4 linked regions of the Saccharomyces cerevisiae S288C genome follow. Changing the gene in region 2 together with the main gene of any one other region gives a genetic interaction. Each region holds a gene or a part of one and is shown on either strand. Other genes may lie near its edges.

Region 1 (8,618 bases), on a different chromosome or scaffold from region 2:
CCGTAATGAGCAGGTGGTTTTAGAAGTGTCAAAGCCATTAAATCTGAGGCCACAGAGAGCAAAGACTTGTGAGAGTGTAACGCATCAGATAACTGTTTCATCGAGTCAGGCGGTAAGATTGAACCATCTGTCGCTGGATATTGAACCAAACAACCAGATACGTCGGGGTTCTTTAAAACATCCACAGCTTTCTTGATATCCGAACAGTCAACTTCAATAATTTCAATATTGAACGGCTTGGCTCTGGTGTGAAGGACACTCTTTGTTTGCTGGTGTAATTTTTTATCTATTACGTATTTTAGTTTCTTTTTTCTGGAAATATTGAATGACAAGAGCATAGCTTCTCCAGCCGCTGTACCCTCATCCAACAATGAGGCGTTCGCCACAGGCAAACCAGTCAAATCTGAAACAACCGTTTGAAAGTTTAATAGCGCTTCTAGCCTACCTTGAGAAATTTCGGGTTGATAGGGCGTATAAGAAGTATACCATTCTGGACTTTCTAGCAGGTTTCTTTGTATAACCGGTGGTAAAATCGTACCGTAGTAACCCTTACCTATGAAATTTTTAACTTTATAGTGGTTCTTATTGGCAATCTTTTCTAGATGTTGAAGCATTTCTTGTTCACAGAATCCCTTACTAGGAGCTTCTAGTTTCAAGGGTCTTCTCTTCAAAATATTGGGAGGAACGAGCTCTTCTATAAATGCGTTTAAATCGCTATAACCCATTGTTTTTAACATTTTCTTAACGTCGCTAGGAGAAGGACCTAAATGACGTCTAGCAAAAGTATCTAGCGGTCTATCAATGTTTTTCAAGTCAGGATTGAAAATCCTGCTGTACTGTGTAGACGTTATGTCTGTAGCGGCTGTTTTGAGCAAAATAGATTGAGAATGGAATGATCTAGTCCTCGCTAATGAAACATAATTGGTGCTTGACCTGACAGTAGCCCTACAAAGGAGAGCAGTCACTCTTGTCCTAAGCATGTTATCTTCCTGGTATTAGGAAACGTTTTTCCAATAAACTGTGGTTAGTTGATGGTTAGATCGCGCAGCAATCAATACAGTAAGATTGGTACACACGAGAAAGACTAATTCACTGGAACTTGAAGAGAAGAAAATTGTGCCACTCGAGCCTGCTATATATACATCCATTTATATTCGTTGGAGATCTTTCGACTAGCTTATCAAGGTCCTTCACAGCTCAATGCTGACTTCGATGACTCCTCTGAGAGTCATGACTCCGAAAAGGAGGAGTCTATACCTCAAGAAGAGTCAGAGATGTCGGGTAACGATTCAACCGGGTAACATGATTGTTATTTCATAAGATTAGAATTCTGAAGCAATTTGGGATTGTGCCAAACCAATGCGAGCATCAAACTGTTAGAGGAAATCCACAAATAAGGCCAAACAGAAGTAAACTCAGGGAGTTGAATTCGGGTTAGAGATTTCAAAAGTCAAATCAAGATCAGTTAAACTGTAATGGCTCGCCAAAATTTTTTAGGCTTGGTCGTCTCCCAAGGGAAGATGCAAAAGACGGTTAAAGTACGTGTAGAAACAAAAGTCTTTAATAAGAAAATCAACAAGGAGTTATTTCATAGAAGAGATTATTTAGTGCATGATGAAGGTGAAATATCAAGGGAGGGTGATTTAGTAAGGATAGAAGCGACGAGGCCGCTTTCAAAGAGGAAGTTTTTTGCCATTGCAGAAATTATTAGAAACAAGGGTCAACAATTTGCATTATACGAATCAGAAGCTCAGTTAAGCGTTGCAAAAGAAGAAGCCCAAAAGGCAAAAGAATTTTTGGATAAAAGATCAGTGAGGGAGAATAAACTAAATGAAAAAACAACCCTTTTACGTGATATTAGGACCATCCAAGATGCTTTATCTAGCGGGTCAACGCCGAAAGAGTTATTGGAGATTAAACAAAGGTACGGCATTCAAGATTTTTCACAAGAAACAGTGAGGCAACTTTTACAGTTAGACATCTCTGGATTGGAGGTTAATTTGGAGAAACAAAGAAGTCTCATTGATCGTATTCAAACGCGATTATCCGAATTGTTGTCGAATGATCTAAAATGTGATCAATTTTTGAAGGATCATGGTGTTGAGGATCCTTTGACCTTGAAAAAAAACATCAAAAAAAATTTGTTAAGAAAGCACGTCATGATGGATATGCAACAACCAAGCCAGTAAATAAAAGAAAGAGGAAAGCCGAGTGTCATATTTTCTCAACTAAAGCACTACACTCTGTAAATATATACAACTACAAGACTTCGTTACGTAAATAGTAAAGTGTTATGTTTTGACTTTAAAATATTCTAGTGAAAAGAACGATGTTTTTGATTTTCTATCGTTTAACGCATTTATATATTTTCAGGCAAGTGATATCGAAGATGTGAGTACATCGCTCGTCCCCATCGTCAAAAACAAAAGTAAATAAAAGAGCTCTGCTCTGATTTTACAAACAAGAAAATTCCAAGGAAATAGTCCAAGTTTTATATGACCCCACCTCATTTTTTTTTATCTCTCATAAAAAAAAGATGCATATGCTGGATATGTTTGGAAGAATCCACATATGACTCTACATGGCTACAGCACACGTGCGGTTGCAACTTACAAATTCATAAACGCTGCTATATAAGATGGCTCTATCAAATGCATGTTGAACTTTTTCTTCCGAACACAGTGGACCTACCAAAGGATGCTGATTTACCTATAATCACCTGTTTAAAATGTCTCGTTGATGGGCACCATGATTTTATGACGACTTTCTCTCTTACAGAAATATGGGAAACTCGTCCCATTTGGGGGCAAAAATCAGTACCGTTTCAAAATGACTACGTGTTCAATCTAATGTCTCTTTATACCAAACGGGATAATCATCCACCTTATGTGTTAGTGAAATTTGGCGAATGTCCTCAATGCAAGAAAACAAATTTCATAAAAAGACCTACAGTAACCATCCAGTCTTCTGTACTATCCCTGTTTTATCAGTGGCAAAAAATTACACGATACGTGATACCATTAGGGATAACTAGTTTATTTCTTTTAAACCCTGAAAAGACAAGTTTTGACATTGGATTATGGCAACTACGCTGCCTTTTCCCTGAGAATGTTCTACGAAATATGTTAAACATCAGCACTACAAAGGCATTGGACGTATATGCGCAAACTGAACGTGGCTTATTAAGCATTCCTTTAACCTCCTCGATCATAATATATGGGTTCATACATTATCTTAGCAACATTTCTAACGTCAGTGCTAATGCAATACTCTTTAAGTGGGTGTATCTCAGTATTGTAAAAACTGCTGGAAACAAATATTACAAGGGTATAGGTTTACCTAAAATAATTTTGTATTCTAACTTGGCTACATTTTGCTATAATTTTACCTTTAAAAGATTGGTTGACTTAATTTACAGGAGGCTGATCAATAAAGGAGGTAAGTATTTGTATCACGGAAATTTTGAAAACTCTAGTAATAGCGTTCCAGCTGAGGAATTTTTTATCAGGCGGAATTGGTATGCTATTCTTGCAGAAAAGATACTATGGCCCTTTGTTGGTAAATGTACAGGAGGTCTTCTATTGAATGCTTTTCTATGGATACAGAGAAAGTTTAAAATTGAATGGACGCCGAATTGCTCCCCTTCGGAATTTAGAATGATTTTCAATATTATAGGTTGTGGTACTGCTGCTATAGGCTGGTCAAGTCTGAAGCTCTATGCCAGTTACAAAAGATGTCAGGAACTTGAAAAGATCAATGAATTTATTGAACAAAGTTGCAAAGGTGAGTAAATAAGTCATTCGTAAGTGTACACTAAACTTTAAGGACAGCTGGTAGGACAATTTTATGGTCATTTGACAGCTGATGTCTTAAATTGTGTGCTATGGTTCATGTTTACATTAAGACCAACTTTTTTAAAGGCGCGTAAAGCAGAATCATTATTACAAATAGTAAAAATAAGTAAACAAATTTATATAATATATAAAACATGAAGGCGAAAAAAGAGATTAATCAACTTCTTCCATCTCGGTGTCAGCTGGAACCTCTTCAACTGGAGCTTCGGTAGAAGCTTCTGGAGCGGTTTCTGTTTCTTCATCCTCATCAATGTTCAAACCTAAAGAAATCAATCTATTTATTCTTGATGCAAAAGAAGTTGGTTCTTCCAAACTGAAACCAGAAGTCAACAAAGCGGTCTCGAATAATAAGTTAGTCAAATCTTTGACGGTCTTATCTTGTGCACCACCCTCATCAACTCTCTTTTTCAATTCCTTAATAATTGGAGATTTTGGAGAAATTTCGAAAGTCTTCTTGGAAGACATGTAGGAGGACATGGAAGAGTCTCTCAAGGCTTGAGCCTTCATGATTCTTTCCATGTTAGCAGACCAGCCGAATTGACCAGTTCTGATGGCAGCTGGAGCATCTAGCAATTTGTAAGAAACAACAACCTTCTCCACTTGGTCACCCAAGATATCCTTCAAGGCCTTGGTCAATGGTTCGTATTCTTTGATCTCCTTCTCTCTTTCAGCTTTTTCTTCGTCTGTTTCTTCCAATTCGAAATCTTTAGTAATGTCAACCAAAGTTTTACCCTCGAATTCCTTCAATTGAGTGAAAGCGTATTCATCAATTGGGTCGGTCAAGAACAAAACTTCAAAGTTCTTAGCCTTCAAGGCGTCCAAGAATGGAGACTTTTCGACTGCCTTTAGAGATTCACCGGTGATGTAATAGATGTTCTTTTGGTGTTCTGGCATTCTAGTAACGTAATCAGTCAAGGAAGTCAATTCATCGACAGATTTAGTAGAATTGTAACGTAGCAACTTAGCTAAAGCAGCTCTGTTTTGAGTGTCCTCATGTACACCCAGCTTAATGTTCTTAGCGAAGGCAGAGTAAAATTTGTCAAATTGCTCGGAGTCTTCAGCGATTTCGTTGAAGGCTTCAATCAATTTCTTGACAATATTCTTTCTAATAACCTTCATAATCTTATTTTGTTGTAACATTTCTCTGGACAAATTCAATGGTAAATCTTCAGAGTCAACAACACCCTTGACGAAAGATAACCACTCTGGAATCAAGTCTTCAGCTTCATCAGTGATGAAGACACGACGAACGTACAACTTGATATTGTTCTTCTTCTTCTTACTCTCAAATAAGTCGAATGGTGCTCTCTTTGGAATGAACAAGATAGCTCTAAATTCCAATTGACCTTCAACAGAGAAATGCTTAACGTACAATGGGTCTTCCCAGTCGTTAGAAATAGACTTATAGAAAGCATTGTATTCCTCTTGAGTGATATCAGATGGGTTTCTAGTCCATAATGGCTTAGTCTTGTTCAACTCTTCTAATTCTTGAACCTCTTCTTTAACTTTTTTGGTTTTTGGCTTCTTTTCTTCTTCTTCTTCATCGACTTCTTCCAATTTTGGTTTCTTGTCATCTTCATCCTTCTTTTCCTCGTCTTTCTTTTCTTCTTCTGGAATTGGAACTTCCTTTTCGACTTCCTTGGTGACTAGAAGTTGGATAGGGTAAGCAACGAATTCAGAATGTCTCTTGATGACTTCTTTAATTCTCTTTTCTTCCAAGTACTCCAATTGGTCATCTTTCAAGAATAATCTCAAGACGGTACCTCTACCAATTCTTTCGTTAACTTCGTCCAAAGTAACGGTGAAAGAACCACCGGCATTAGATTCCCAAATATATTGTTCGTCCTCATTGTTCTTGGAAATAACTTGAACTCTGTCGGCGACTAAGAATAAAGAGTAAAAACCAACACCGAATTGACCAATCATGGATACATCGGCACCAGCAGATAGAGCTTCCATGAAAGCTTTAGTACCAGACTTAGCAATGGTACCCAAATTGTTAATCAATTCAGCCTTGGTCATACCAATACCAGAATCTCTGATTTCCAAAACTTTTTCTTCTGGTTTTGGGGTGATTCTAATGAACAAATCTGGTTCGGTTTCCAATTGCTTTGGATCAGACAAAGCTTGGTATCTAATTTTGTCTAAAGCATCGGAGGCGTTAGAGATCAGTTCTCTCAAGAAAATTTCCTTGTTAGAATAGACAGTGTTGATGATCAAACTCATCAACTGAGTGATTTCAGCTTGAAATTCAAAAGTTTCACCAGCCATATTTCAGAATGATTCTATTTTTCTATTGGTTCTGTAGCGTTTCAAGAAAAAGAAAACAAGAGAAAGAATATATCACAAAAAATATAATGCATGTGTTCATGTCACTTACGGTAGGCAGTTCACATGCCACTCTTTTTATACAAATCTCCTCCCTCATTACCCAACGCTTGGTGGAAGTTCGAGAAAACGAGAAAAATTGTTCTTTCACCTTCTAGAAAGAAAAGTGCCCAGAAAACAGAAAGGCGGGTAATAAAATGCATCGGCGGCTATTTTAACTTTCTATTGGTAATGGCTGCTGTTCTATGAATACAAAAAGAAAGAATATAAAAGAACGTAAATATTAATTTTGCCTAAGAAGCAAATTATAATCAAATGCGTAATGGGTTATAAACTATCTAGTACGGTTAAAAGCTTGTCAATCTGTTCACAAACCATGTAATCTTCATCTTGATCACGAACGTAAGATAATAGTGTTTTTAGCTTATCGTAGTTGTACTCAAAGGGAAGTAAATCAAATCCTGTACTGTACAACAAATCATGTATCAAGTGTACGGCACTTCTTCTCATCAAAAAAGAATCATCCTTGTCCTTCAAATGATTTTGTGGTTGTTCTAATTGCAATATTCCAAATACACAATCCAGCATATCGCGAATTCTATCCGAGACACCCCTGGCGTTGATTTGAAGGCACATACCTAAGATTGACATGGATGACATACGCCATCTATTGTCCAATGGTTTACTATCATTTGGCCTCACAATACTAAGACAGGTATCTATAATCAGATAAGCCAATTTACCCTGGAACAATTCGTTCTGACGTTGAATGTAATTGATGAACACTTCTCCAACTTTCAGCACATCATCTAATCTGTTTTTCTTTTTTTTGTTAGCATAAAATTCTGCAAGTAGAGGCAATATGGTTTCTGGCTCTAATTCACATAGCGTTGTAAGTCCTTTAATAACGTTGAGATAAATGAAAGGGTCCATATTCTTTAAATAATCTAAATGTATTTGCAACACCTTTTCCAGTGAAATTACTGGAGACTTCTTTTCAGCTAGATGACGTAGTTCTGTTAAACCATAAGATTTTATGGGCACTAAAGGATCATGTAGACTAGTTATCGCTTTGTCAAGCCTTTCCTCATCCATCTCAATTTCTATGTTGTCGTTCCTTTCCGTAGTATGTCCGTTAATCAATATATTATCTATTGATGCCAATAATGCATCTATTTCGGAAGCATTAGTGTTGAAAGATTGTAATTTTCTAGAAATGGATTTCAATATATAACTGTTTTGCAATAATATACTACTGGACGATTCTGAAAGGACGGTTGATAATAACTGCAAGATAATTTTGTAGGAAGAATTTTCATTTGGATCCAATTCTTCTGTTTCTTCTCCTTCTTCAACTTCGTCGTCAGAATCTGCTTCTACTTCCTGTATTGTTTCATCTTTTTCCTGAACAACATCTATCAATTGATCAATAACAATAAGAACGTCCTTAGGTTTATTAACAATCTTGGTTTTAAATCGGTTGTTCATACATTCCAAAAGTTTCAAGTCCATGAGTATTAACGCGTTATCTGTAACGCTTGGCATCCCGCTATGATTATCGGAAGATCTTTTTTCACTTTTTTTTGTATGATGGACCCATCTTTTCAGAATATCTAAAAATAAAGTCTTTGATTGTTCCTCATCATTTAGCAGCACTAAAAATTCCATAAATAATTCTATCGAAAGGTCCATATCTTGAAGAAACTCAGAAATTTGAGAGTTTTTGGATCCTTTTTCGAAAAACAACTCTGCCATATCTGTGTTTTTAACCGATATGTAGGGTAGCTGAGTATCAAGATCAATTAAATACTTCCATTTCTCGTGCTCAAAATTCAGTAAGTTAAGGCTCAGTACATTTAGATATTGAAAATTTTCTGTTATGACTATTAGAGATTTTAATAATGATAATACAACCTCGTAATACTTTGAGGAAGATTGCTCTGGAAAATGTATGCTGTCTGTGCTTTTATTATCTGAAATAGACAATTTGTTTATTTCTAATGGGTCTAGTTTTTGGTTTTTCTTCAAAAAAAGAGCATATATCCATACATATAAAAAGAACTGTCCAGGCGTAGTACCGTCTTCATCAGGGCAACTAGTAACTAAATCATTCAGCAAATCCGATGAAGAATTTTTGGATAAAGATATAAGAACGTTTATAACATCGTTCAGTTCCTTTGCTGTATGATCAGTTAACGGGGAATTAAAGATAATGGAGCGGACCTTCTTAAACAAAAAATCGTTAACAATCCTCTTATTCCTCAGGTAAAATTTAAGGATTAGTCCGTTCAAACAAGTGACCAGGATAGGCCTGTTCACAAAGGTGAGACCATCATAAATTTGCTTGAATAGTTCCGTCAAGTATTGCAAATTTGTCATTGTTTTTGGCTTACTCATCAAAATTTGGTAGATACGGTTAAACTTTTCAATATCTAT
Region 2 (5,208 bases):
CGGTGTCGAGGCCGATGCTGGCAGGAGCAATGTTAAAGTAAAGGACGAAGATCCTAATGAATATAATGAATTTCCCTTAAGAGCTATTCCAAAGGAGGATTTAGAAAACATGAGGACACATCTTTTGAAGTTTCAGAGTAAAAAAAAGATAAACCCTGTAACAGACTTCCATCTTCCCGTAAGACTGCATAGGAAGGATACGAGAAACTTGCAGTTTCAGCTAACAAGAGCAGAAATTGTTCAAAGGCAAAAAGAAATTTCTGAGTATAAAAAAAAAGCAGAGCAAGAAAGAAGTACTCCTAACTCGGGTGGTATGAATAAATCAGGAACGGTCTCGCTCAATAATACTGTTAAAGATGGGTCTCAGACACCTACTGTTGATTCAGTTACTAAAGACAACACGGCCAACGGTGTGAACTCCTCCATTCCTACTGTAACTGGCTCTTCTGTCCCTCCTGCTAGTCCTACTACTGTATCCGCCGTTGAAAGTAATGGACTGTCAAATGGTTCAACTAGTGCAGCTAACGGTTTGGATGGCAATGCATCTACAGCGAATCTAGCTAACGGAAGGCCGTTAGTGACAAAACTAGAGGATGCAGGCCCAGCTGAAGACCCTACTAAAGTTGGAATGGTCAAGTACGACGGAAAAGAAGTGACTAACGAACCGGAATTTGAAGAAGGAACTATGGATCCACTAGCAGATGTGGCACCAGATGGAGGCGGTAGGGCCAAACGAGGAAATTTGAGAAGGAAAACTCGTCAATTAAAAGTTCTTGATGAGAACGCCAAAAAGCTGAGATTTGAGGAATTTTATCCATGGGTTATGGAAGATTTTGATGGGTACAATACATGGGTGGGTTCTTATGAAGCAGGTAACTCAGATTCTTATGTCTTGTTAAGTGTAGAAGATGATGGAAGTTTTACCATGATTCCTGCTGATAAGGTTTATAAGTTTACCGCAAGAAATAAATATGCTACTTTGACCATTGACGAAGCAGAAAAAAGAATGGACAAAAAAAGTGGTGAAGTGCCACGTTGGTTGATGAAGCATTTGGATAATATAGGTACAACTACAACTAGATATGACAGAACAAGAAGAAAGCTTAAAGCCGTCGCTGATCAACAAGCTATGGATGAAGATGATCGTGATGACAATTCAGAAGTAGAGTTAGATTATGATGAAGAGTTTGCCGATGATGAGGAGGCACCTATTATAGATGGTAATGAACAAGAAAATAAAGAATCAGAACAAAGAATCAAGAAGGAGATGCTGCAAGCTAATGCGATGGGGCTTCGTGATGAAGAAGCTCCTTCCGAAAACGAAGAAGATGAGTTATTTGGGGAAAAGAAGATTGATGAGGATGGTGAAAGAATTAAGAAGGCATTACAAAAGACAGAACTTGCAGCACTATACTCATCGGATGAAAATGAGATCAACCCATACTTATCTGAATCCGATATTGAAAACAAAGAGAATGAATCGCCCGTTAAAAAGGAAGAAGATTCGGACACTCTATCCAAATCCAAGAGATCTTCTCCAAAGAAACAGCAAAAGAAAGCTACAAATGCGCATGTGCATAAAGAGCCAACTTTGAGGGTGAAAAGTATTAAAAACTGTGTCATTATCTTGAAGGGGGATAAGAAAATACTGAAAAGCTTCCCAGAGGGAGAATGGAATCCACAGACGACAAAAGCTGTAGATAGTAGTAATAATGCATCGAATACAGTGCCTTCGCCAATCAAACAAGAGGAAGGCTTGAATTCTACAGTGGCAGAAAGGGAAGAAACTCCAGCGCCTACAATAACAGAAAAAGATATCATCGAGGCTATTGGTGATGGCAAAGTCAATATCAAAGAGTTTGGAAAGTTCATCAGAAGAAAATATCCTGGCGCAGAGAATAAAAAGCTAATGTTTGCCATTGTAAAAAAATTGTGTCGAAAGGTTGGCAATGACCACATGGAATTAAAGAAAGAGTAGGTTAGTTTATAATGTTATGTACTTAATAGGTTATTTAGTTTTCGTTCTTTTCATTCTTTCCTTTTTCTTTCCATTTAATCTTATGTAGTTACATTATACTGTCATTTTAGTTGCAGTAAGTATACTTTTTTATCTAGTCTTTTTTTCTGCCTTTTTTTTGAGAAAAGACTCAGAATTCTACTAAACTCTAATATATTGTTATTTCTGTATTATACAATTCTATGCTATGTGAACTGTCCTTGAAAGTGACCTAGGCCACTTCGACAATTTCATCTTCTTCGTCGTCATCTTCTTCTTCTTCACTCTCCTCCTCTTCTTCCTCTTCCGCATTCTTTGATGGCATCTCTTCCACTGCTCCCGCACCTGGCTCGCCTCTCATTAACATATTAACAATTCTGTAACATAATTCACCAATATCTTCATTCTCAACGTTTTTATGCAGCTCCCTCACTAGTGGATAAACGGACTTGTCTCTTAAGTATTCTCTTCCAGCATGCGTTGTACATAGCAAAAGAATACTTTCTAAATGACAGCATATAATTGCAGGAATCGGGTCTCTTTCCTTGTCCTCTGGTAATAATTGAAGTTCATCTGGTAAATTGAACATATCTTCCTCATCAATTTCAGAATCTTTAGCACTAGCAATAGGTAGCAGGATGTAAGGCAACAAGTTTATTTTTTCATCTTTGAGTAACCTTTCATGAGTTTCAGAATCAAATAGGGAATTTTTAATTGTGGAAGCGACACCTTCTCTTCTTACCTTTGCATCATATTTTTCGGTAAATACTAGCAATTTTGAAATAGGAACAACCCCATCGTATTCCTGCTCTTCAATAAAATACATCCTGCCCAATTTAAACCTCGAGATATCCGCAAAAAAAAAGGCTAAATAATTGAAACTGGCATATTTTGTTAATTTTTTATCATAACCCTTAACAAAGCAATCCATTAAACAATCCATGGCTCTCAAACTTTTGAAAACTTCTTTATTTAAAGCTGCTAACTTCAAACCATCATCGACCTCCTCACCGCTTGAATTCCTTTTGATATTCAGAACAGCAAGAATGCCGTCATCCTTGGCTAAGTTGCTTAATAAGATACACATTATATCGGCATTTGGATTGGTTAAATCGACAATTTTCCAAACCAAAAATTTTAAGAACTTCTTGTCATCGCTCAATATAATATTTCTTACTAACTTGTCTTCAGATAAATTGACCAATATAGTGACACCTTGCTGAATAATAACACGGGTGCCGTGTTCTGGATCCATGATCATTTTTATTATATCCTTAATGGGTCTGTAGCTATCATTTTTGAAAACTTTTGAAGTGGGACCAGCACTAAATCCAACTAGATTATCAATGGCAATCTGTCTTACGGCAGGTTGTGGTGAATGCAGAAATTCCACTAATTCATTCAATTGTGAAGTCATCACTCAATTTTTTGTTGATTTTTTTGAGCTATTTTTAATTTTTAAATTAAATTGATACCGTTTTAAGAAGAATAAACTTGTCGTTATTAGAGTAGGTGCGTCATAAATTGATGGATGAGATGAGAGAGCTCAATATGAAAAAATGAAAAAAAAAAAAATTTGAAAAAGCCCTTCGAGGAAGAATAGGGAAAAATCTACAATAATAATTATCGTCTGGGGTGATAACAGAACACATCGAAAGGTAGCACTACCAGTAACATCCCAATTGGCTCTGCAGCTATTAGATGAAATATACTGCGAATTGCGAATCAAGACATCTATTTTTTATTCTTGTTAGTTTTCGCGGTAACAAGTGGAGCAATTGCTACATACTCGATGTATGAAGAGCTTCAGTAAAATAATATCATAACATTATCGCCATTTTTTTGGTACTTGTTTTTCCATAAGTGACAGATGTCAAGATTAAAAAAGAATATATTTACTCAACCTGAGAACCTGCTAGTTTTATATTACCTTTTATATATTAATGTTACAATTGGCTCTACCTGAAGTTGTGTTGTCATTGCTATGGAATCTGGCAGGACACCAAAAAGTCACCTATGCGGGAGATGAAGGCATATTTATTCACTAAAATCTCCTTGACGGTTTCCCCTTATATTGAAAATGTGATAACTCCTCTTCAATGCTTAGAATTACGTTTCTTAAGTGATTTTCTGCGTGCTGTTCCAGATGGCTTTCTATCAAATTCCTTATTTCAACAATCTTTTCAGTCATCGGCAAAGCTTGATTGGAAGCTTGACCGCTATTTAACAGTAAATCAAATATAACGCCCCATATTTCTTTTTTCCAATACCTTTTGAATGGGTTCTTCAATTTGCATCGTCCATTCTGCAGCTGGATTGTTTCTATGAATTTTCCAAAAAGCATCGAATGTATGACGCCTGCTAATCCATAATAATCCGCTTCATAACTCCATGGCTTGCCCGCACGCATTTCCCAGCAATCTTGCTGATCAGCCTTCCAATTTGATTTGAATTTCGTTCCAGGTGGTAACAGTGTCATATCAAATGATCTACCGAAATCTATTAAATAGATTCCCTTGTTTTCCCAGCCATCCTCTCCATTGCGCATATAATGAGCACCCAGGGGTTCGCCTGGTTTTTCTAATCTGATCATGCAGTTATCTGGTTTCAAATCGCCATGTATTATTCCCACTTCATGTATCTTTTCAAGTACTTTCATTAGCTCGACAGTGATAAACATGCACAAATATTCATCCATTATTCCGTTGCCGTCAATTGCCTTTTCCCGTTGTAAATTAATTAAATCCAAGACCGTACCTTGACTGGCGTAGTTTAAAACAAGGTAGCTCTCATCAAGGAACAAGTGTAAAGCACTAGCGTTGATTATTGACTTTAATATTGTGCTCTTCCTCAACCTAAACTCCACTTGGCTCATTATGTAATATTCCCATACACTTGCAGGTTTTTCTACTTTCAACGCTCGCAGATGTCCTTGACTAGATTCTGCTAGATATACAGTGGCATAACCTCCTTCGCCTAATTCTCCGCGTATACAATATAAATCACCCGTCTTCTTGAAGTCAACAATTGGGTTCTTGTTTTCGTTGCGGGATACCCTATGGATTTTTTTCAATAGAGAACTCATTTTCAATTCTTGGTTGTAGTTATAAAAGGTGTTATATTGGAATAATGGGGGCGAAATTTCGGATAAAAACTTCGCTCTTAAATTATTACTAAGTGGGTTTTCAATAATGACAGGCGGTTGATTTTTT
Region 3 (8,637 bases), on a different chromosome or scaffold from region 2:
CAACCGGTTGAAATTATAAAACAGAGTTTTTCAACCGTTAACAATCACGAAACGGCTGTACCTTCAATTAAGGACTCTGGCATAGTACAAGAATTGACAGCACTCGGAGATAATAACAGGATACCAGTTCTTCCACCCCCTAGGTCACCAAACAGACCTACACTGTCTGATAAACGAACTACAAAGTTATACTACTGTAGTCAAGATTCGTCTAATGAAGATATTGCTCCAGAGGAAAAGAGCACCGTTTTCTTAAAGCGTTTGCAGGATGAATGGTCTACCGTGTATTTAAACAAATTGCCTTTGACTGCTTCTGTGCCATCTTCTCTCTCTACCACTACTGATGCTGCGAACTCTTCGTTCATAAACTCTTCAATATCATCGCCGGCTCCTTCTTCTTCGTCCTCGTCATCGTTGGTTTCCCGTGGACCAATGCAATCCATATCTTCTTCGCCAACACCTGCCCCTTCTTCAGGGTCATCGAAATCTAAAAATGCCGTCAAATCCTTACGCTTTGCGGATGAGATTTATGTAAACGATACGTGGTCCGCCGCGGACTATTGCAGGTGTGATAATACCTTTTTGAATAATTTCTTTAAAGGAAAGAGCCAAGACATTACCAATCCTTCTACTTTTGTCGGTAATAATCTCTCATCCACAAAAAATATATCCAATATTGAAATCAAAATGGAGGTGAATGAGTTCAAAAGAAAGGAAATGCGCGTTCACCAGGATAGCGCTAAGTATACACATTACTACTTATAACGGGTTCATCAAGCTTTTTTCCTTCTTGAGACTCTGTTGTATCTCTTTATATATTCTATTTTATTTTATATGCATCGAACTTTTTACGTAAGATAAATACTTACTACATTTTGGATAATTGTTTTAACAGGTTAATTTCTATAATCTATTTTTTATCTGCTCTTATAGCATTCAAATATTTGCAGCGGTAAAAAATTATGGTTAAGACCCGCGCGACTGTAAAAATAGCGCGTAAGATTTCCCTGAAGAGCGATGAGTTTTAACATTTAAAAGATATGTCTGAGATCAATCGCTTTTTTACCAGCTACCTAACTTTATAACCTTAACCGATAATTAGAATTTTTTACAGTGATTATCTAAGAGTGTTAATGAAGTTTTTATTGATGGATGCTTGCTTAACGCGGGGGCTCGAAAATTACTTAATCACATTTTTATCGCCTATGGACATACTGATAGGGAATATTTGAATTATATCATTTCGAATAATGTTCAGAATATAGTGCTGTGGTAATAATCTTAAGATGATAAATTTTAATTCACATAAAAAACTGTAATACCAATGTAGGTATTTACATCGTAATTTCTGGGGATCTCGTACAGGTTTACATGCCCCATTATACCAATAACAAAATGGGAGAGATTTAAAAATGGACTGTTCAACCAGTGGTGCAATGTAAGGTGAAGGGCTATTTGTAGAGAATGTGGATTTTGATGTAATTGTTGGGATTCCATTGTGATTAAGGCTATAATATTAGGTATGTAGATATACTAGAAGTTCTCCTCTAGGATTTAGGAATCCATAAAAGGGAATCTGCAATTCTACACAATTCTATAAATATTATTATCATCGTTTTATATGTTAATATTCATTGATCCTATTACATTATCAATCCTTGCGTTTCAGCTTCCACTAATTTAGATGACTATTTCTCATCATTTGCGTCATCTTCTAACACCGTATATGATAATATACTAGTAACGTAAATACTAGTTAGTAGATGATAGTTGATTTTTATTCCAACACTATTAATCATACAAATACTTTGAAAACTTCTTTAAATAATCTCATAAATCTTTACATTGAACTAGGATGATAAAAGTGAGCTTAACGTCAATAAATCCCACTGAACCAAAAATATGAGTAAGTAGTAGTACATTACGATACAGTTCGATTCACCTTTCTCCGGTATCTGTCACCTAGAAAACTTACGAACCGCAATGTTAAGGCAAATTCAAATCTAACAAATGAATTCCACTGTTGTTATGTTTGCATGCATCTAGGTGCGTTGTGGTCCACGAGATAACAACCTTAATGTCTCTTGGTTGATCACTACTTTGGCAGCGATCTTAATTTGTTTATATATTTTGACTTTATTGATTACTTGTTTAAATGAGTTGCTTGAATTGTTAACGAATTTACAATATTCGGAGCCCTAAAAAATTCATGAATTTAATCCGATATAGTGTAACGGCTATCACATCACGCTTTCACCGTGGAGACCGGGGTTCGACTCCCCGTATCGGAGTATTCGTTATATTTTTTCAATCGCTTACGATCAAAAGCTTTGAAAACATTTTTTTTACCGTGTAATGTAATTTTTATTTCGATATCAGATTTATGTATGCATGAAAATTATAGAAAAAGTTGAAATTACACATAAGTTTATTTCGTTATGGTATCAATATCACCATTTCTTAAAAGATCCGCCACCTCTTTGGCAAAAAAATCTGTGAAGACGTCCAAGTACATTACGTCTGCGACTTGATCCTTAGCAAACTTTCCATTTTCTGCCAATTCAGTTATAGTTTCATAATATTTGGAATATGATTGTGTAATTAACTCTTGCACAGCGTCTAATAAATTAGTAACAATCTCTTGATCATCGATATAGTTCAATATCTGTTCATATATTCTTGGTAATCTGGCCTTTATATTCTCTCTTAATTTTACGTTTTTGCTTAACAGATCTTCATCACTATTGATATCTAAAGTGTCATCAATAAGCTCCAAAGAAGTGCTTTCAGTAAAATCTTTAATGACGTTTCTCAATTCAGATATGAGTTCCGTACGGGCGTCCACCATATTGTTTACAACTTTTGGAACCAGCTCTCTTGCCAGGGTCAATATTGAAGATGACTTTGTCTTTTTCAAAACGTTTCTACCATTTTCTTTAAGTGATTTGAAAAACCCCTCAACACCAGAAAAATCCAGATAAGTTTCATTAACTGTATATTGAATATTAAAGTTCTGTATGGAATCACGTAACATCAACAAATTTTTTAGGTACGCTAATGAAATATCTAAGTTGTTAAAATCAGATTTTCCCGCTGAAGATTTGATAACCATATCATAGGCATTTCTCAAGGATACAATACAGTCGTGGACTACATGGTGAGCTAAATCATCAAATACCACAGAATTGATCATTTCATAAATTTTGGACAATAAAGCCAAAGTCTTTAACAAGGGCGGATAATATGTTTGCAACTGTGAAATTTTATCAGTAGATTCTTCTGAATCAATACTTTTATCGTCTGCATCATTAGGGGATATGGGCAATATGCTTCTATTCTTGAAAGAAGATAAATAAGATTCTAACAAGGGATCTGGATTGTCATCACTAGTAGTAGCATCTTCGTTACCCCCTTGTAAGCTGGTCTTCGATTTTCTCCTTCTATTTGAAATCATGAAAACGTCCCTAGTGGGCCTATAGCTCAAAATATTTTGTTGGACATATATTTGCACTCTTAAAATTAATCTAGCCTGCACTTTTTGGACAATCGGTTCGAATAGTTTATCATACTGAATGTCGGTAAACTGCTTCACGTATTCTTCTGAACCTTCTTCAAATTCATAATATGGAGCAAACAAAGTCACTGAGTCACACAAAGTACAAATATCTGTCTCTTTCAAAACCCTGACTCTAATGGAGTCATAAAGGGGTTCACATAACTGTAAGAACCACTGATTAATCTTGAAACGACATTCCTTTTCAGGGAAAAATTCTACGAAAAGTTTGTATTCGTCCGCGCATAACTGCTGAAAATAAACCTTACCGTCTTGAATGAATTTGACCAAGCCCTGGTCCTTATCTTTAACAACAATTTCATCAATGTGTGACCAAATGACCGGAGTTAGCAGTCTTAAACGTGTTTGGAAATAGTGGTTGAAACACTCGTAAAGAATGGAATTCAGTTCATCGTGATACTTGTTGTAGGCTTTTTCGTTGCTTCTCTTAACAATTTCCGAAACCTGAATTTTGAAAGTATCAGCTATGGTATAGAATTTACTGTACAAGAAGGCGTCTCTTGTAGTCGACGGCAACCCAGTTAACGAATTTTTGTTTTTGGTTTTATCCAAAATTTCTTGATTTGTTTGTTTCAACAGATTCGTTAAAAAGTGAGATATCAATTCACAGGCTCTGATCAAGCATTGCTTGAACTTGATTCTGTACGCTGCCGCATCCTTGAGGTCACTATTCTCATCCAAAAAACGTAAAGACTCGTCGATAGTCGCCAACATTGTCGTAAAGGAGCTCTTCTTAACAATAGCGGGAGAAGTGGCATGGTTCAAGCGACGCATTATAGGGTCTAAAACTTCAAAATAATGGAGAGCTTTAGGGATTGACTCAGTTAGATTGCTTAATTTAGACTGCTTTTCATAGATCGTCTTCGTTTCCTCAATGAAAGCTCCAGTATCCTGAGAGATTTTCCGAAATTTCTTGATGGAACTATCCAATTGATCGTTAACCTGGCGTGTTTGATCCAGAACAACTTTATACTCGTCTATCTTAATGTTTAACTGGTCCAAATAGGTAGTATAATACAAATACTTGTTTGTCTTTTTTACATCCGCAGAAGTCGTAGCTTCAGAACCATTAACCTCTGAACAACCTTCTGAGACATCAGTTCTTTGCAGACTGTCAGAATTTTCCACAGCCAAAGATAGCTTTTTTAGCTTATCAAAAAGGTACGAATCGTCCAGTAAACCCACTATGGTCTGAGATTCTGGTATAGTCGGATGAGACGCAATATCTCGAACCAATGAATTCTTTCTACTTCTCGCCATCTTTGGATGTGTCGATAATTCGTGCAATATTGGGTAAAACAATTCATGCTGGGAGTATTTATTGTGTGTCTATAAAGCCAAGACTTTACATAACAATGGACGCAACGACTGCCGTTATACAGGGTAACCTCAATTTGCGCCTCTATATTCTATATTAATACTACTTATGATCCATCCGCAGCTGATACTTAGAGTTACGAGGCAGAGCATCGAAAAATCTGAGCCCACCATTAAGTTGCAATATAAGTACGAATTTTCCTGCTCTTCTCTCGTCTTTGGATTACTGTATTCATTGATAAATCTCTATTATTTTTTTCAGTTTTTCACTTTCTTTTCGAGCGATGGGAACGGCAAATCACGAAAATTTTCTGTCAACGTAGAAAGTAATGATGTGTTAATACTATCGAAAAGCTGTGGAATTGAAGAGCCCAGCCCAAAAAGTCTGCATGAATAGCGTAAAAAGAGTAAAGCTAAATTCAAAAATGTCCAAACAAATATGCACGCATTCCGGATCTTTTCACGCGGACGAGTCGTTGGCGGTATACATGTTAAGGCTACTACCCGAATTTAAAGATGCTAAGTTGGTTAGATCAAGAAATCCCAAGGACTGGGAGGCTAGTGACATTCTAGTGGATGTAGGAGCTCAGTATGACGGCGTGAAATTTTTTGACCACCACCAGCGTGGATTTTTCGAAACTTTCAACGAGAAATACAAGACTAAGCTCTCAAGTGCTGGTCTGATCTTCAAACACTACGGTCGTGACATTATCAAAACAATTTTGAACAACAAGGTTAGCAGCTCTGATTTAGATCTGCTCTATGACAAGGTATACAAACAATTTGTCGAGGCACTGGATGCAAACGACAACGGTATTAGCAAGTACACGATTCCTAAGGATTCCAACTTGGAACCGAATTTCAGGGATAACGCCATCAGCATTCCCGGGATTATTTCAGGTATGAATCCTAACTGGAACGAAGACACTTCCGATGAGTCTTTTGACAGATGCTTTGCTCGCGCAAGTGAGTTTATCGGTGGGGTCTTTGTCACATTGGTAAGAGGCTACGGTCAATCGTGGTTGCCAGCCAAGGCCCTTGTGGCGCAAGCCATTGATGAAAGAATGGATGTTGATAAGAGTGGCAAAATCATTGTCTTGCCCCAATTCTGTCCATGGAAGGAGCATCTATACGAGCTGGAAAGAGAGAAGAACATTGAAAAGCAAATCGAGTTTGTTCTCTTCACAGACTCTTCTGGTGCCTGGAGGGTATCTACTGTACCAATCAACTCCACCTCCTTCCAGTTTAGGAGAGGTTTGCCGGAGCCATTAAGAGGCCTCAGAGACGAAGAGCTGAGCACCAAGAGCGGTGTGCCAGGATGTATCTTCATTCATGCAGCAGGTTTCATTGGAGGTGCCAAGTCCAAAGAGGCTGTATATGAGCTGGCTAAGATGTCTTTGGCCTAGTCGGGAGCGAGCGCTCAGTCAGGTCCCTTATCTATTTAATAATATTTAACAATTCCACTATTTATTCTGTATAGTAAGTAAATCTTTAATGCAAGCAAAAATCTTCCCGCCGCGAATCCTGAAACATATTCCCCTCGGTGAAACACGCTCTTGAAAATGACCTGAGAACACAAGATATCAGACGGCTCTTGTTGCACAAAAAACAAAAACAAAAGAAGCAAGCTACGTTGCAGCCACTGGTACTGTCTGCTAACTCAAACATTCTTTTTCATTTTTAATATACAGATTTCGTATTCTCCCGTTCCCGCTATACGCAATTTTCTTTCTTTTTTTTCCCTCTTTGGTTAGGAGACTGCAGATCAGTCCCATTTTTTCCAACAGAACAAACAAGCAAACGTTTCAGTTTAAAAGAACACACGGTCGTCGTGCCTTTTCTGGATAGACACAAAAAAAACAAATAACGAAGCAGGAGTCTAATGAAAGGTCTTCTCTGGTCTAAGAACAGGAAATCTTCAACGGCCAGTGCTAGTTCAAGCTCAACTTCCACGTCTCATAAGACAACTACTGCGTCTACAGCATCGTCGTCGTCGCCGTCATCATCCTCTCAAACTATTCGAAACTCGACAAGCGGTGCTTCTCCATACATGCATTCCCACCATCACCATGGCCAGGGACACAGTCACCACAGAGGGGAAGACAACAACAGAGATAAGAGAAAAAGCTCCGTATTTCCACCCTCCAAGCAGTACACATCCACTAGTTCCAGTCAGGTGAACTTGGGGATGTATCATTCGGATACTAACACCAGATCTTCTAGAAGCATAGCCTCTACGCTAAAAGACGATTCTCCGTCTGTCTGCTCCGAAGATGAAATAAGCAATTCTTCTAGCCAGAAGTCCAATGCCCAGGATGAGACTCCCATTGCGTACAAGAAGAGTGCCCATTCGAAAGACTCATTGTTGCCTTCACGTTCCTCGTCTTTATCACCTCCTCAGTCTCGATGTAGCACTGGAACTACGCTAGAGAAATCGTTGAACACTTCAGGTATCAGTAACAGTAGCGGCACTAATAATAACAATAGCAATAATAACAACGATAACGAGCAAAAGCAAAGAAATGTTATCCACTTAAACTCTGAAAACTATGATACAACTGTTTTTAAGACTGGATGGGTTAATAAGTCCCATGGCCAGACTGTTGCTACAAACTATAATAGCTCAATGACAGCCCCTTCCTCTTCCTCTTCGTCCTCCTCTCAGAATCTCCGTAATGATGCGTATTCTAGAAACAGGGAAAGCAGGTTTTATGGGAACGACGGTTCGTCTTTAAAAAATGATGACAGCAGTAGTACTACGGCCACTAACAGTGGCAATGATGTGGCCTCAGCAAGAAGCAGCATGGCTATAGATCCTCAAATGCTAGTACCTGATTACCGTCTTTATAGGGCTCAATTGAAAGGTTGCGTTCTCAACCTTTACAAAAGTGGTTTGAATAGTAACATTAAGTTTTTTGATCCAACTTTACCAGCTTCAAATAGTAGTATAGCAAATGAAAACCATCAACAGAAAAAACAACAAACAAACAACCAAGCACAAGCGGAAGCTCTGCACCAAAAGCAATCATTTGGCCAAATGGGTGAACCTATTACACTGGACCTGAAGTATTTATCTGAAGTTTACCCGCACCCAGATTTAAGACAAGACAGTGATGGTAAAATTATATCAGGCACAATAGAAAGTTTATGTCACACAGTCTTATTTTACCCCGGTCCAAAGCAATCGGACGTACCTAATGAGAAATCATTATCTAAGACACATAGAGCTGTTATTAATCTGTTATTGATGTTTCCATTACTAGATCATTTCATTAAGTTTCTAAAGGTATTCAACCAATTCGGTCTTTCTTTTACCAAGAATAAATCAAGATTGACAAATAATTCCACACAATTCTACAACATATCCCCTGCTGTCGATGACTCCATGACTCAAAGATTAGCTTTAACTGCTAAAACAATCCTTGATGTATTTCCGGGATTTTTGCTGGATGAACCAATGCTGAAGACTATAATTTCCTTATTAGATACTATATCTTTGCATAACGATGAAATTTCCAACAATTTGAAAATTAAAATCGCCAATAAACATAACGAATTAATGAAACTTACCGCATTCACTCGATCTCTTCCAATGGCAACATCATCTACACATGAATTAGAGATTATATTGGATCCAAGTCATTTCCTGTCTTTAGACATTACAACATTGGCTGATGAAGTTCATCATATCAATTTAAAGTTTGATAAAGTATGGGCACCGAAATTTGACTATTCTCTGCTGTATG
Region 4 (7,887 bases), on a different chromosome or scaffold from region 2:
AAGTCGTATGTTTAATTTAATGATAAGACCTTTCATGTTACTATATTTTGAGTTTGCAAATTATTCCACTGATTACGAAATTGCTGTGCTTTTTTCGCTTCGGTGCATCGTCATTTTTCGAGAATAAAGCAAATTTTTACATGCCCGTTATTTTTCCGTGCACAACTTCTTTTTGGCTTTTTTGGCCGTCGGATTTACGGCGCGAAAATAAGTTTCTGACTTCTCGAGATATAGCCATTGTAGAAACTAAAACAATATTGATTGATTCAATTAGCACTAATCTTAGAAAATTTGCAATCCTACTCTTTTCGCAATGATTTTATTTACTAACCCATCCCAAATTTATTTTAGTAATTTGATAAAATGAAACTGTCCGCCACCACTCTTACCGCGGCTTCATTGATCGGTTATAGCACAATCGTTTCCGCTTTGCCGTATGCGGCTGATATTGACACAGGATGTACTACTACTGCTCATGGTTCACACCAGCATAAGAGGGCCGTTGCAGTTACATACGTTTACGAAACAGTCACTGTCGATAAAAATGGTCAGACCGTCACTCCAACCTCAACTGAAGCCTCTTCTACAGTTGCTTCCACTACTACTCTGATTTCCGAATCTTCGGTCACCAAGTCTTCTTCCAAAGTTGCTTCTTCTTCTGAGAGTACTGAACAAATCGCTACCACCTCGTCTTCGGCTCAAACAACTCTGACATCTTCAGAAACTTCTACTAGCGAATCCTCTGTGCCTATTTCCACATCTGGGTCAGCTTCCACATCTTCAGCAGCTTCCAGTGCAACTGGAAGTATCTACGGTGATTTGGCTGACTTTTCAGGTCCATATGAAAAATTTGAAGACGGTACCATTCCTTGCGGCCAATTTCCATCTGGTCAAGGTGTTATCCCCATCAGCTGGTTAGATGAAGGTGGCTGGTCTGGTGTTGAAAATACTGACACTTCTACGGGTGGCTCTTGTAAAGAAGGGTCTTACTGCTCATACGCTTGCCAACCAGGTATGTCCAAGACACAATGGCCTTCTGACCAACCATCTGACGGCAGATCCATTGGTGGTTTGCTATGTAAGGACGGCTACCTGTACCGTTCAAATACAGATACTGACTATTTATGCGAATGGGGCGTTGATGCCGCTTACGTCGTCTCTGAATTGAGCAACGATGTTGCTATCTGCAGGACCGATTACCCGGGTACCGAAAACATGGTGATTCCTACATATGTGCAAGCAGGTGACTCTTTACCCTTGACTGTCGTTGATCAGGACACCTACTACACTTGGCAAGGATTGAAGACATCCGCGCAATACTACGTTAACAATGCCGGTATTTCTGTCGAAGATGCTTGTGTTTGGGGTTCTTCAAGTTCAGGCGTCGGTAATTGGGCTCCATTGAACTTTGGCGCTGGTTCTTCTGATGGTGTCGCCTACCTTTCTTTGATTCCCAACCCAAACAACGGTAACGCATTGAATTTCAATGTCAAAATTGTCGCCGCTGATGACTCTTCTACAGTCAACGGTGAATGTATCTATGAAAACGGTAGCTTCAGCGGTGGCTCTGACGGTTGTACCGTTTCCGTTACTGCTGGCAAAGCTAAGTTTGTTCTATACAACTAAACTTAGGCGCATCAACAGTTGAGTAAGTTGATTGTATTATTACCCCATTCTTTTCTGCCCGTCCATTTTATTGTCTGTTTAACATACACTAAAACCCACGCCGGATTAATATCAATTTTTTTTTACTTTGTTTCTATTTATCATTCTTCCAGACATAAATTATTTTGTAATATTAAAGACATTTGAAAACCTACATACATCGCACACCTCTTCTTTCATTGTCCTAAAAACCACCCAAAAAAAAAAAAAAGACATCAAATCTCTTTTTTTTTTTTTTGTAGTTCTGTTGCCGTATGCTATCTACTCCTAAGGCTTTTTTCTACTACGGCAATCTATTCACAATGTGCAATTAGGCTAAATGCTAAAAAAAGAAAAAAAAATCCGGAGCCCCTCGATGACTCCTGTTTCCGTTTTATACTGTCCAGCGCAGACCGCACTTCCTACGTATACTTCTTACGGGGAAGGGAGCATACACGAAAACAAAAGGACCCGTAATGACTCGGAAACTCCATAGATCGGTAAATACCGGCTCGTTACCCGTCCTCCATCGGAAAATCTCTCACCGATTTGTTCCGGTATCGGATAATTTATGAATCACCCGGCTTGATGGAACCGTTTTTGTTCCGTGAAATGCCCGGCCTGCATTGTTTTCTTCAGACGAGAAGCCGTTCCAACGTTTCTTTTTCTCGTCACCGGGAAGTTGCGGGCACCTTAGGGCAAGGAAAAAGAAACTTCTCTGCCCTCATCGAGGATACAGTTGATCATACTCAATATTATATAACGCTTAACACTGTCAAGGTTATACACTTTTTACTAACTTTTTATTGCTAATATTGTCGTTCTATATAAAATTATGGATTTTTCCAGGCTTACAAAGTTAGCATTTATACGGAGATAAATTTATTTTTTTGAGAATCCAAGCTAGATTCAGAAAGTCGAATCAGCAATGTCACGAAGTAACAGTATATACACAGAAGATATTGAGATGTATCCTACTCACAATGAGCAGCATCTGACGAGAGAATACACAAAACCAGATGGTCAAACGAAAAGTGAAAAACTAAATTTCGAAGGCGCTTATATCAACAGTCACGGGACTCTATCCAAGACTACCACAAGGGAAATAGAAGGCGATTTAGACTCTGAGACTTCTTCTCACTCCAGTGATGATAAAGTTGATCCAACCCAACAGATAACTGCAGAGACAAAAGCGCCATATACTTTACTAAGTTACGGTCAGAAGTGGGGAATGGTTGCAATTCTAACAATGTGTGGCTTTTGGTCTTCATTGGGATCACCGATCTATTATCCCGCTTTGAGGCAGTTGGAAAAGCAATTTAATGTGGATGAAAATATGGTTAACGTTACTGTGGTTGTGTATCTGTTGTTTCAAGGTATATCTCCCACAGTTAGCGGTGGTCTGGCGGATTGCTTTGGACGGAGACCTATAATTTTAGCAGGTATGCTGATATACGTTATTGCATCCATCGGGCTAGCATGTGCTCCATCATACGGTGTTATTATCTTCTTGAGGTGTATTCAGAGTATTGGTATTTCCCCCACAATTGCAATCAGTTCTGGTGTTGTCGGGGACTTCACTTTGAAGCATGAAAGAGGTACATTTGTTGGCGCCACCTCAGGGTTTGTTTTACTGGGTCAATGTTTTGGTAGTCTTATTGGTGCCGTCCTGACTGCAAGGTGGGATTGGAGAGCTATCTTTTGGTTTTTGACCATTGGTTGTGGAAGTTGTTTTCTAATTGCCTTTCTTATTTTGCCAGAAACAAAGCGAACCATTGCAGGTAACCTTTCCATTAAGCCTAAAAGATTCATCAACAGAGCGCCGATTTTCCTACTGGGCCCAGTTAGAAGGAGATTCAAGTACGATAATCCTGATTATGAGACATTAGATCCCACCATTCCGAAACTAGATTTGTCATCCGCCGGGAAGATCCTTGTATTGCCAGAAATTATTCTGTCTTTATTTCCATCAGGGCTCTTATTTGCTATGTGGACGTTAATGCTTTCCTCTATTTCATCCGGTTTATCAGTGGCGCCATACAACTATCATTTGGTCATTATTGGTGTGTGTTATCTACCCGGTGGTATTGGCGGTTTAATGGGTTCCTTCTTCACAGGTAGAATTATTGACATGTATTTCAAGAGAAAGATCAAGAAATTCGAGCAAGACAAAGCTAACGGGTTGATTCCACAAGACGCAGAGATTAATATGTTCAAAGTCCGTTTAGTTTGTCTTCTGCCCCAAAATTTCTTGGCCGTCGTAGCCTATCTTTTATTTGGTTGGAGTATAGATAAGGGCTGGAGGATCGAATCTATTTTAATTACTTCATTTGTCTGTTCATACTGTGCTATGAGTACATTATCAACATCAACTACGTTATTGGTCGATTTGTACCCAACGAAATCATCTACAGCAAGTAGTTGTTTCAACTTTGTTAGGTGCAGTTTGAGTACCATCTTCATGGGTTGCTTTGCCAAAATGAAAGCTGCGATGACTGTAGGTGGTACTTTTACATTTTTATGTGCGCTGGTATTTTTCTTCAACTTCTTAATGTTTATTCCGATGAAATATGGTATGAAGTGGAGGGAGGATAGATTATTGAAACAACAAAGACAGTCTTGGTTAAACACCTTGGCAGTCAAAGCCAAAAAGGGAACAAAAAGAGACCAGAACGATAATCATAATTAATTGGCATTCTTCAATTTGATAGACACTTATCCCTGCATATTTTTTTTATAAACAGCTTATAGACTTTCATGTAAATTTTTCCTAATTAATGTATTATTTACTTCGTTAATTTTCCGTTGAATTATTGACATGTTAAAGGTGCACTAAATATACCTAATACAAAAAATGGTTTTCTGTGGCAAATATATACAGTGGAAATTTCAGCATATAATCCCTGCTTTACTCTTTCCTTAAGATTTCGTCATAATTAGAACTTTTTTTGGTAAACTGCATTTTCTACCATTATTACTTTACATATGTATAGCTACAAAACTGTATTTTGAAGTGAAAAGTATGATGAATAAATGAATCGTGAATAAGTTGATCTTTTTTTATCAAGAAAATCATTGAGATGCACATTGAACACCTTCGCCACCTTGTTCTTCTTCATCGGAATCATAGTTTGCACCACCCCTGGAGGCCCGTGTTCTGTTGTATTTGGCTGGGTCAAAGTCTGCGAGTACACATTCGTCCACAGTAGCTTTCTTTGGAATGGCTGGGACAATTCTTGGAGGCAAAATTTCTTCTAACTTCTTCAAGTTTTCTTCTGATGTGAAATGGTTTTCTGGGAACTTGATAGTAAATTTGATGATTAAATTACCATAGCCACCGTATTTTGGAATTGGCATACCTTTACCTTCGATGACCTTACGCATACCTGGGGCAATAACTTCACCTGGAACAATACCGACCTTTAACCAATCACCAGAAACATGTTCCAATGCAAATTCACCACCAGCGATAGCAGTCAATAGATCAATTTCAGCCTCATATACTAAATCATCACCATCTCTCTTGAAGCTCTTGTGTGGTCTCTCAGAAACTATGAAGACAACATCACCTGGAATGACATCTGGGGCTTGGTCAGCTTCACCTTTGAAAACGATTCTTTGACCATCTTTCATACCTGGTTCGACATGGACTTCTAGGATCTTCCTTTCGTTTTCAACTTTCTTACCGTTACAAGATTTACAACGATCCTTAGGATCAATGATATCACCAGTACCGTGACAGACATCACACTCTGTTTGGAATCTTTGGATCATTGGACCCATTTGTCTTGTTACAAATTTAATACCTTGACCATTACAGCTGGTACACTTCTTGACGGCGCCTTTCTTACCACCACGACCTTCACATTCTTTACATAGGATCTGTTTGTTAAGGGCTAACTTAGCTGTCCTACCCTTATATAATTCTTCAAGTGAGGCAGAAATTTCATGCTTGATATCTTTACCTCTTTGGGGACCTCTTGGTCTTTGTGCGCCACCAGCACCAAAGAATTGGGAAAAGATATCGTCACCAAAACCGAATCCACCACCTGGGAATCCGCCAGCGCCACCAGCACCACTTAGACCATCTTCACCAAATTGGTCATATATATCTCTCTTTTCAGGATCTGATAAAATTTCATAGGCTGCTGAAGCTTCTTTGAACTTTTCTGCAGCTTCCTCACTTGGATTCTTATCTGGATGGTATTTTAAGGCGCATTTTCTATAAGCTTTCTTAATTTCGACATCAGTGGCAGTTACTGGAACACCTAGAATATCGTAAAACTTAGTTTCTTTAACCATCTTTGGACGTTTATTATTGTTGTTGGAAGATGTAGAATTCAGTTTGGATAATTTTTAATTATGTTCTATCAAAAGATATGGTAACAAATAACAAAAAAATAAATACGTAACAGTTATCAAATAAGACGCTTGTTCGGGCCTAATATATATGGGGAAAAGGACTTTTTGTGACTTTGATTTATAAAAACGAACTACACACCTTATCAAACAAGAACTACCTAACCAACATATAAACGTAGAGCAAGTTTTTACACGTTTTATAAGTACGTGGATTGATCTGCAAGTTAAATACTTTCCATACCTGCCGATGCTCTATTGCCTTTTCATTTCTTGAAAAAGAAATGAAAAAATTTTCTATTTTTTCGATGGCCTTCTATAATTTTGTACGAAATATTATAGGTCAGGTGTATATCACGTGCTCAAACCAGCGACTTCACATCTTATTTTATACCAACATACTCATTATAACAATGTATTCCATAGTTGAATACACACAACTCAAACGTGTATAAACGACTTTATTTTGCCGACTCTCTACGGTCAATGTCTTGTTACGTTTTCAAGTGCTTTTAGAAACTCTGCACTCTCTTCCCCTTAACTCGTAGACAAGGAGCGATAGTTGAATGGTAGGAACGAAAAAGAAACGGTTAGAAAGAACATATGCCTCGAATATCTACATCATTGATAAGAAAAGCTTCGAGAATACGACCTGGTTTGCATCTTTTGCTTCCAGAATGTAGGACTCTCGAGCAAGCGAAACTCGAGTACAAATGGCTCACCGAAGAGCTGCCTCCGGATAAATCAATCCGCTGGGCTTGCTTACAGAGATACAAACACGTCCCATTGCAGTACATCTTAAGATCGCAACCGTTTGGGGCCTTGGACATAGTTTGCAAGCCTGGTGTTCTTATACCAAGATGGGAAACCGAGGAATGGGTGATGGCCATAATAAGAGCTCTAAACAACTCTATGCTTTCAAGGCATACTATACCACTGCATATTTGTGATACGTTTACAGGAACAGGGTGTATTGCTCTCGCTTTGAGTCATGGTATAGCAAATTGCACGTTCACTGCCATTGACGTGTCAACAAGAGCAATTAAGTTGGTTAAAGAAAATATGCTGAAAAACAAGGTGAGTGGTGGTAAGCTCGTGCAACATAATATATTGTCCTCAAAAGCTAGCGATGAATATCCATCCCATATAGATATATTAACCGGTAACCCCCCCTACATTCGAAAGCGTGACTTCAATAGAGATGTTAAAACTTCCGTAAAGCTGTTCGAACCAAGGCTAGCGCTAGTGGGTGAGCTTGAATGCTATATAAATCTAGTAAATTATTGGCTGCCGAAGACAGACTCCTTCTTTTATGAGATTGGAGACGTTGAACAGTTTAATTACGTGGAGAGGCGCATTAAAGAAGATTCATATCTCAGCCGTATTTGGTCTATTGGTTTGAAATATGACTCGAATGGGAAAGCAAGAGTCGTATATGGGTTTAAGGCCACTCCCAAAGGGCGAATACTACACCAGATTTTTGCATCCTTTGGGACTATAAGACATTTAGCAACCGCACTCAGTGGGCACAAAGCTAATTGCAACTAAGTATATAAATGTAAATATATATATTCTCAGGTTTTTTTGTTGGAAGTTATCAAACGGAACACTCTGTGGACATTTATATTTTTTGTTTCTTAGCTCCATGTTCAGCAAGCTTTTCACTGGAGTCAGCTGCAGTCGCGTTTTCCGATACAGGTTCAGGAGCAGGGATGACTCTGTGACACCACATTAGATATCCACCACCACCTTTCATGGTCATCAGAGGGTGTAGCTTACCCCTTATACTTTGGTACGGCCTACATCTAGTTTCCAAAATTGATGGTGCTAAAAACCTGAGGTCTGAATATAAAGTATGAGCTAATTCCAACAAAGTTTCTTTGA

The links.
Region 1: mutations in HGH1 (region 2) and HSC82 impair growth when combined (synthetic growth defect), as found in Saccharomyces cerevisiae (3 studies listed by BioGRID, with this or other methods).
Region 3: mutations in HGH1 (region 2) and COG3 together harm fitness more than expected from each alone (negative genetic interaction), as found in Saccharomyces cerevisiae (3 studies listed by BioGRID).
Region 4: mutations in HGH1 (region 2) and YDJ1 together harm fitness more than expected from each alone (negative genetic interaction), as found in Saccharomyces cerevisiae (2 studies listed by BioGRID).

The regions. Positions count from the first base shown.
Region 1 is NC_001145.3:629,862-638,479, reverse strand, and holds HSC82 (Hsp90 family chaperone HSC82), read right to left. Parts: upstream 6,126-8,618; coding exon 4,008-6,125; downstream 1-4,007. Other genes in the region: GCV2 (glycine decarboxylase subunit P), read right to left, coding at 1-980; mitochondrial 37S ribosomal protein uS17m MRPS17, read left to right, coding at 1,476-2,189; YMR187C (uncharacterized protein), read left to right, coding at 2,496-3,791; RTP1 (Rtp1p), read right to left, coding at 6,510-8,618. UniProt on the Saccharomyces cerevisiae protein: Molecular chaperone that promotes the maturation, structural maintenance and proper regulation of specific target proteins involved in cell cycle control and signal transduction such as CNA2. Undergoes a functional cycle that is linked to its ATPase activity.
Region 2 is NC_001139.9:868,004-873,211, forward strand, and holds HGH1 (Hgh1p), read right to left. Parts: upstream 3,414-5,208; coding exon 2,229-3,413; downstream 1-2,228. Other genes in the region: transcription factor IIF subunit TFG1, read left to right, coding at 1-1,978; protein kinase BUB1, read right to left, coding at 4,041-5,208.
Region 3 is NC_001137.3:480,985-489,621, reverse strand, and holds COG3 (Golgi transport complex subunit COG3), read right to left. Parts: upstream 4,835-8,637; coding exon 2,429-4,834; downstream 1-2,428. Other genes in the region: YER158C (uncharacterized protein), read left to right, coding at 1-765; MYG1 (Myg1p), read left to right, coding at 5,281-6,297; GTPase-activating protein BEM2, read left to right, coding at 6,774-8,637. UniProt on the Saccharomyces cerevisiae protein: Acts as a component of the peripheral membrane COG complex that is involved in intra-Golgi protein trafficking.
Region 4 is NC_001146.8:501,152-509,038, forward strand, and holds YDJ1 (type I HSP40 co-chaperone YDJ1), read right to left. Parts: upstream 5,947-7,887; coding exon 4,717-5,946; downstream 1-4,716. Other genes in the region: putative glucosidase SUN4, read left to right, coding at 364-1,626; AQR1 (Aqr1p), read left to right, coding at 2,573-4,333; MTQ1 (S-adenosylmethionine-dependent methyltransferase), read left to right, coding at 6,607-7,551; tRNA 1-methyladenosine methyltransferase subunit GCD10, read right to left, coding at 7,625-7,887. UniProt on the Saccharomyces cerevisiae protein: Probably involved in mitochondrial protein import. Is also required for efficient translocation of pre-pro-alpha-factor. Involved in heme regulation of HAP1, as a component of the high-molecular-weight (HMC) complex.